2 linked regions of the Xenopus tropicalis genome follow. The protein of the gene in region 1 purifies or fractionates together with the protein of each later gene. This does not show direct contact. Links are inferred from orthologs where the notes say so. Each region holds a gene or a part of one and is shown in the gene's direction. Other genes may lie near its edges.

Region 1 (4,552 bases):
AGCCGGGGGGCACCAGTGGCACTGCAGTTACACAGAAAGGGAGCCGGGGGCCCCAGTGGCACTGCAGTTACACAGAAAGGGAGACAGGGGGCACCAGTGGCACTGCAGTTACACAGAAAGGGAGCCGGGGGGCACCAGTGGCACTGCAGTTACACAGAAAGGGAGCCGGGGGGCACCAGTGGCACTGCAGTTACACAGAAAGGGAGCCGGGGGGCACCAGTGGCACTGCAGTTACACAGAAAGGGAGCCGGGGGGCACCAGTGGCACTGCAGTTACACAGAAAGGGAGCCGGGGGGCACCAGTGGCACTGCAGTTACACAGAAAGGGAGCCGGGGGGCACCAGTGGCACTGCAGTTACACAGAAAGGGAGCCGGGGGGCACCAGTGGCACTGCAGTTACACAGAAAGGGAGCCGGGGGGCACCAGTGGCACTGCAGTTACACAGAAAGGGAGCCGGGGGGCACCAGTGGCCCCACAGGGCTTTAGTGACATCGCTGCTGCTGACAGAGAGGGAAGGGACAGGATGAGACAGCTGGGAGTGGGGTTAGAAGGCTGTGTGAGACAGTTACAGCCTATGGTATAACAGGCAGAATTGTTGCCCCAACACACCCCAATATGACAGCCGGACTGGGCTGGGGAGCGGTGCACTGTTTGGACTACCTTCAGATTTGGCAGAGAAGTCGCCTCTCCCACTGCAGTTACAGGTCACTCAGCATCAACCGAGGGGCAGTGAATACAGTGAGTGTGATTGTAGCTTTCCTTCTCCTTTACAGGGGGGGGGGGGGGTTCAGCTCTAATTTAACCGTTAGTATGTTATAGAATGAGCAATGCTGAGCAACTTTGCAATTGGTCTTCTTTATTTATTTCTTACGGTTTTTGAATTATTTGCCTTCCTCTTCTGCCTCTTTGCAGCTTTCAAATGGGGGTCACTGACCCCGGCAGCCAAACCCTATTGCTCTGTGAGGCTCCAGTTTTATTGTTATTGTTACTTTTTATTCCTTATCTTTCTATCCAGCCCCTCCCCTATTCATATACCAGTCTCTCATTCAAACCGCTCCCTGGTTGCTAAGGTAATTTGGACCTTAGCAACCATATAGCTGTTATAACTCCAAACTGCAGAGCTGCTGAACAATAATTCAAAAACTAATTACAAATAATAAAAAATAAAGACCAATTGCAAATTGTCTCACAATATCACTCTCTACATCATAGTAAGAGTTAACCAGAGTAGGTTAGGGGCGGCGCATTTACCTGGGATAAAGGTGCCTGATTGTAATTAGGCCCCGCCCTTCCCCAGTGTAACCAATCCCAACTGGGCCAGCCTTTCCCCATAACTGAGCCCATTCCCTTTATCAGCTTAGTCGCTCACTCACACTGACACTCACACTCACACTCACACTGACAGAGCTCCCTGCCTACAGACACATTGAGAGAACTGCCCCCGTACTAGCAGGGCCCATGTGGACCAAGGAAATGAGAGCCTGACACACCCCCTGGGACACACCCCCTCTGGGACACACCCCCTCTGGGACACGCCGCTTTCCGTAGGACCCGCACAGTACAGTAGTTGGATTGCACCAAAGAGGGAGGGTTCAAGTTAATTAGAGAAACCGGAGACGCAAAACGAATTTATTTCCGAGTTGCTGAATTTACACCGCCCTTAATGATACAGCGGCAGATACTTGGGCCTCCAGGCTGCTGTGTTAGCCCCACATGTGATTGCTACCTCCCCCCGGAAGGGCATTTGGTCTCGACCAGCGTTTGGTGTTTACAGTCTGGGAACACTGGAACGTACCAAGTGGGGAGGGGAGACTCATCTAAACGTCCCATAAGTCTGGCGATTTCCGCATGTGCTTGTTACGCACACTCCCGTGATGCTCTTCCGTAAATGAGATAATTCAGGCCCCGCCTCCCTTTAGGCTTTGTAACCGATCCGGCCCGATTCCGTATTCCGGTTCTGTCCCTCCCCCCCCGCCAGTGGTATCTCCCAGCCCTTTCCCTTCCCGCCCCCAGGCCCCAATCCCCAGTCTGTGAGGAGCCGGCGGGGAGCGCGGCTCGGAGCGTTGGGATGAGGGAGCCGCCATGGAGCGCAGCCCTGACAGGAAGCGGCGATGCCCTGGGCCCCGGTACAGTCTGTTGGCCGAGATCGGGCGCGGCACTTACGGGGTGGTGTACGAGGCCCTGGCCCTGAGGAGCGGGGCGCGGGTGGCGGTGAAACGCATTCGCTGTGACGCCCCCGAGAATGTGGAGCTCGCCCTGTCCGAGTTCTGGGCCCTCACCAGCCTCCGCCGCCGCCACCCCAACATCGTGCGCTTCGAGGAGTGCGTCCTGCAGCGGAACGGCCTGGCCCAGAGAATGTCGCACGGAAACAAACAGTCGCGCCTCTACCTGCGACTTGTAGAGACTTCTCTCAAGGGTGAGTGTGGGGCCCCCCCAGGGGTGAGTGTGGGGTGAGTGTGGGGCCCCCCCCCAGGGGTGAGGGTGGGGTGAGTGTGGGGCCCCCCCAGGGGTGAGTGTGGGGCCCCCCCAGGGGTGAGTGTGGGGCCCCCCCAGGGGTGAGGGTGGGGTGAGTGTGGGGCCCCCCCAGGGGTGAGGGTGGGGTGAGTGTGGGGCCCCCCCAGGGGTGAGGGTGGGGCCCCCCCAGGGGTGAGGGTGAGTGTGGGGCCCCCCCAGGGGTGAGGGTGGGGCCCCCCCAGGGGTGAGGGTGAGTGTGGGGCCCCCCCAGGGGTGAGTGTGGGGCGAGGGTGAGTGTGGGGCCCCCCCAGGGGTGAGTGTGGGGCCCCCCCAGGGGTGAGGGTGGGGTGAGTGTGGGGCCCCCCCAGGGGTGAGGGTGGGGCCCCCCCAGGGGTGAGGGTGGGGCCCCCCCAGGGGTGAGGGTGAGTGTGGGGCCCCCCCAGGGGTGAGTGTGGGGCGAGGGTGAGTGTGGGGCCCCTCCAGGGGTGAGTGTGGCCCCCGGGTAACTGCCCCGGGAGGTACTGTATGGGGAAGGGTACAGTATCTGCACCCTGGGGGTATGTAAGTGGAGGGGTAACTGTATTTACACCTGGGGGGGCTCTTTTACCCCATAGGGATTTACTAAAAAGGGAGGGAGTCTCAAATGTGGCCCCATGGGGGTAACAACAAGGGATCACGTCTGAGCCTGGGTCGGAGTGTAAGGTGACTGCCCCATTGTGGGTGACAGGAAGTAATTGAAGGGCAAGTACTGGGGTAATAGTTGTACCTGCACCCAGGTGGGCACTGAAAGGCTCGGGGGGACTGGCACCCACCCACTCAGTTAGTGCCCCAGTGGTTTGCCTAAGGGGTAACTAGCAACACTGGCAGGTAAATAACTACCCCAGCCACTGGGGCAACTAACTGGGGGTACCTGGGTTAACTGAACCCCAATTGTTCCTAAGTAAGAAAAGTAGCCTGTGGGGTAACTAGCAAACTACTGAAATACCCTGGGGCACAAATACAGTCGGGGGGTTATGTCTTTCTCTGGTACTAGTGGGGGGCCCAGGGGGCACCCAGAGATCTCTAGGGTATTGGGTAACAAGGAGCTTGTGGGGGGACTCCCTATAAAGCTAAATATCCTGGGCAGTGGGAACGGGGGGTTCAGACCGTCGGTGCCCCCCCGGCCTCTCGGTCAGGTGCCCCTAGCCCACCCCCGGCCTCTCGGTCAGGTGCCCCTAGCCCACCCCCGGCCTCTCGGTCAGGTGCCCCTAGCCCACCCCCGGCCTCTCGGTCAGGTGCCCCTAGCCCACCCCCGGCCTCTCGGTCAGGTGCCCCTAGCCCACCCCCGGCCTCTCGGTCAGGTGCCCCTAGCCCACCCCCGGCCTCTCGGTCAGGTGCCCCTAGCCCACCCCCGGCCTCTCGGTCAGGTGCCCCTAGCCCACCCCCGGCCTCTCGGTCAGGTGCCCCTAGCCCACCCCCGGCCTCTCGGTCAGGTGCCCCTAGCCCACCCCCGGCCTCTCGGTCAGGTGCCCCTAGCCCACCCCCGGCCTCTCGGTCAGGTGCCCCTAGCCCACCCCCGGCCTCTCGGTCAGGTGCCCCTAGCCCACCCCCGGCCTCTCGGTCAGGTGTCCCCTAGCCCACCCCCGGCCTCTCGGTCAGGTGTCCCCTAGCCCACCCCCGGCCTCTCGGTCAGGTGCCCCTAGCCCCCCCCCGGCCTCTCGGTCAGGTGCCCCTAGCCCCCCCCCGGCCTCTCGGTCAGGTGCCCCTAGCCCCCCCCGGCCTCTCGGTCAGGTGCCCCTAGCCCCCCCCCGGCCTCTCGGTCAGGTGCCCCTAGCCCCCCCCCGGCCTCTCGGTCAGGTGCCCCTAGCCCCCCCCCGGCCTCTCGGTCAGGTGCCCCTAGCCCCCCCCGGCCTCTCGGTCAGGTGCCCCTAGCCCCCCCCCCCGGCCTCTCGGTCAGGTGCCCCTAGCCCCCCCCCCGGCCTCTCGGTCAGGTGCCCCTAGCCCCCCCCGGCCTCTCGGTCAGGTGCCCCTAGCCCCCCCCCGGCCTCTCGGTCAGGTGCCCCTAGCCCCCCCCCGGCCTCTCGGTCAGGTGCCCCTAGCCCCCCCCCGGCCTCTCGGTC
Region 2 (4,261 bases), on another chromosome or scaffold:
GCAATACAAATATACAAAAAAAAATGAACATCACACTACATTCTTATTTGCCATTGCAAATTCTCTACTCATGTCTTTTGTTTAACATTCCTTGTGTTCCATCTAGAACAGGGGTCGGGAACCTTTTTGGCTGAGAGAGCCATAAACACCACATATTTTAAAATGTAATTCCGGGAGAGCCATACAATGGCCGACGGGAGCTAGGCCGAAGCCAGGGCCTCGATTTGTGGCTGCCTGTGGAGGACAATGCGGTTTCAATCCCCTTTCGGCCGCGGATGCTGAGGGGCAAGGTAGGGTGGGTGTCATCTTTAGCTGTTCAATATGGCTTGTTAGTGGTATAACTAGAGGGCTACCTAGCACAGTTGGCTTCTCTTTGTAGCTCCAACACATATTGGCCACATTGTATTTTCAATTTAAGCGTGAACTGACACGGGTTTCTACTCGAATGTTCCTCTCAGTTCCCTGGGCCCTGGTTCAAGTGCAACCCGGTAAGGATGCCGGATGTGGATGCGATGCGGAGGAGAGCGTGGCCTCCGCTTGGCGGATAGAAGATATGTTCTAAGGCTTAGAACACGTCTTCTATCCGCCAAGTGCGGGCCACGCCCCATGTTTTTTGTTTTTTTTAAAGATTTGGCAGCGAGCCAGATTCAGCCATCAAAAGAGCCACATCTGGCTCCCGAGCCATAGGTTCCCTACCCCTGATCTAGAATCTTCAGGTCACAGCCATGCACTCACCTCTAGAGTGTACATAGCCTCTTACAGGTTTCTCTCAATGAGAGGTGCAGTTGTACGGGCTTTTAAACACATATACTGTAGTCCAATGACTTGAAACTTTTTGGCAAAAGCCAATAGGACTGTGACTTTAGTTTCTCCATATCCTTTTACTGCCAAACTTTCTCTTTAAACCTCTGTAGCTCATTTAAAAGCCAATGAGCTTCTGTCATTTATCATTAAATATAACTTCACATCCAGCCAGGAATATACTTCTGGCAGTCTCCTCAATGGTCAAAGTCTTTCTGTATTGCAATAAAACATCAATTCAACAGACAGCCAAGTATAATATGTTCGTAAACTTCGTCTGTTAAACGATACTAGTTTATTTTAGCCATAAATATATATACTTTTATATTAATATAAAGCAAAATTGCAATGTGTTTTTACAAACAATAAATACAGATTAAAATGAAAGTGCACATATTGACATATTAATCTGCCCCGTTGGGTGGGGAGGCAAGTAACTTGCTCAATCAGTTTGGACCTCAGTCAGCAGCAGGGTTTGCCCATACCCAATATGGCCGCGGAGGGCGTCCCTTGCACTAGTTCTAAGCCTGTGACGTCATACGCAGGCCGGCACAGCCAAATTCGTGACGCTGTTTGATAAAGTTTTGGGCGGCTGCTTCTGGGGAGCGGAGAAAGTTTTTTAGTTTAGACAGGTACCGGGTAAGAGGCCGTTCCACATGAGAAAGAGAAAGGTAAGAAGGGTGTCGCTTTGTGGAAATGTTGCTTACTGTCCCATCTATCTGCATTACGCGATCGGCCGCTCCAGTGTCGTATTTACTAGGCTTGGAGAGGAGGGGGATCAGGGTGGAGACGCGGGATAGCCCTGCTGTTTGCACAAAGGCAATTAAATAAGGCACGTCAAATGGCAATTCCGGTACAGGTTCCGTCCTGATTTTCAGAAACCGTACTGCTGACCGGGGATCATGGACGTTGTAGTTTATCCGGGCTTAGCGGCAACCATGACAGACAACCATTGTTATACTATAATAATTACATCTTTGTGGCTTCCCTTAGGCTTCTTTACTAGCAGAAGCTTAGCAGTCTGAGACATTTAGCTTTTGTTGTTAGTGTCACAGTTACAGGGGCTCTCCAGCCTGCAGCCTATCAGGGGATGCTGGGACTTGTAGTGTAAAATTGCTGTGGGGCTGCACTTTTCCCTCAGAGCTGCTGGGTTACTAAGGGTAACTGTATGTGTGTTTTGTGTAAATGTCACTTGGGCTTTACTTTGGGACTTTCTGACTCTGCTTCTCAAGATGCTGGCTAGTGGCTGAGCTGAGGGCTGATATAGAATTTGTGAGTTGTAGTTGCTTTCTGCAGCAAGATCCTTATGACAAATGGTGGTTCAGTTGTATGTAGGGGCCTCAACTCCCCCTGCTTGTTTCTGTGGCCACTTGTTAAAGACTTAATAAAGAATATGTTATTATTGTCAGGCACTACTATGTACTTGGTGATTTAAAGTGATGGTCACTTAAAGTGGTTCTCAACCCGTGGGTCGGGACCCCTTTGGGCGTCGAACAACCCTTTCACAGGGGTCGCCTAAGACCATCAAAGAACCATTGAAGAACACATTTCTGATGGTCTTAGGAATAATTTTATGGTTGGGGGTCACCACAACATGAGGAACTGTATTAAAGGGTCGCGGCATTAGAAAGGTTGAGAACCACTGACTTAAGCTAAGGACCTTGCAGTCATGGGGGCAAGTACTTTGTATTTCCTCAGTAATAGCATCTGCAACAAATACATGTGCCTGTTATCCAGAATGCTCGTGACCTGGGGTTTTCCAGCTACGGGGTCTTCCTGTAATTTGGATCTCCCTCCTTATTCATACCTTAAGTCTGCTAAGAAATCATTTTAATCATTTAAATAAACCCCAATAGTCTCCAATAAGAATAAGTTGCCTTGAGAAGAAACTTCTGTAACTTCGGAAAATTGCCACATATGCCATCCAACCAGCGATTTACATTCTCTGCGGTGGGATGGCATTTCGGGGAGGTTAGTCGCCCACGACAAGGGAGATTTGTTGCGCGGTGACTAATCTCCCCTTCTGTCATAGCCCTTTCAGATCCTATGCCAGTGTCACATTGAGCACAGATTGCATGGCTAGCAAATCCCCTGTATCCAAGTAGTGTTGGCTTTTAGTAGAATCACAACAGGCAAAAAAAAAAAAGGAAAATCAGACTCTCTGGAATAATTTTCCACTTTTTTAGATTTGGCACAGATTTACATGAAAAGTTAGAAATGTACAATGTAGCCGCAACTTCATTGTACATGAGTCTGTTTGGCAGTTATAGATGGGAACAGCTACAAGAACTGTGAGGTTTTTTTGAACATTGCCCAAGGAATTATTTCTGTTTTGTCTAGATACATTTATTTGTGTAGTAGTTCAGTGGCACTAGATGCATACATTTGTTATTAAGATTTTTTCACTGTCTGGCACTGGCTTTTAAAGCCTAATAGAAATTTAAAGTAATTGTCATTTAATGGGTTCTGATTTTTGTTTGTGTTTAGGTATAGATTGTAAGCTCTACGGGGCAGGGACCTCCATCCTCTTGTGTCTTTGACTCTTAACTTATTGTAACTGTATCTTGTATTTATTGTTATACTTTGTATTTATCTATTATTATCTTAAAACCCCCTGTTTGTATTAATGTATTCTACTGTACAGTGCTGCGTACATAAGTAGCGCTTTATAAATAAAGATATACATACATACAGGTATGCATGTAAGTGACTCTGTGCATCCATTGCACTGTGATAGGCAATAAAAGCATACAGTTGTACAGGTATTAGAACCATTTCAAGGATAAAATGATTGTTAACCTCCCACTAAAATAACTTTCCCCCCATGTCCGACAAAGCTCCAAGATGATGTCGCATAATAGTAAAGATCCATCCAATAATGTATATTAAACACAACTGGAAACAATATTATGTAACATATCTTGTTTCCTTTTAAGATCAAAAGAATGTTCATACATTCACTCTTTTTGTATGCCTCCTATAGCAATATCCCAACACCTACATGAGGTATTAAAAATATACTTTCCATCGCCCACTTCCTTTTGTGTTTTGTTAATTTAGAAGTGATGTGTTATAACCACCTCTTTTCTCTGTAGGCAGTTTTTATAGACATGGAGAAAAATGAATCCGCTCTTATGCACATACCCTTGTAGCTCCATTGACAGGACCGGTGTCAGCCTGTGTGGAGCTACACGGAGCGCATGCCGGCATGAAAATGCGAATGTATGCATTTTTTGTTTCCATATCTTTATGGCACATTCACTTAAGTCCAAAATCAGAGATATGTGTTTTATAAGGCATAAGATGGACTGGATTTTCCCCTTGATTTAAGAATGGTTTGCAGTTCATGCATGCCTTCATAAAGAGCCAGCACTACACATAAGAACTTCTTTCAGATAACCTATTGTTTCTCCTACTCCTATGTAACTGGAGTAGTCCCAAGGCAGACTTGGATTTCTTA

Evidence for each region.
Region 2: the proteins of serine/threonine-protein kinase 35 (region 1) and c1orf174 purify together in Homo sapiens (affinity purification with mass spectrometry; 3 studies listed by BioGRID and IntAct, counting the BioPlex papers as one, with this or other methods). This does not show direct contact. The link is inferred for Xenopus tropicalis from reciprocal best matches to the Homo sapiens genes STK35 and C1orf174.

What each region holds. Positions count from the first base shown.
Region 1 is NC_030686.2:888,595-893,146, forward strand, and holds the start of serine/threonine-protein kinase 35, read left to right. Parts: upstream 1-1,546; 5' UTR 1,547-2,081; coding exon 2,082-2,415; intron 2,416-4,552.
Region 2 is NC_030683.2:96,895,033-96,899,293, reverse strand, and holds the start of c1orf174 (UPF0688 protein C1orf174 homolog), read left to right. Parts: upstream 1-1,416; 5' UTR 1,417-1,457; coding exon 1,458-1,472; intron 1,473-4,261.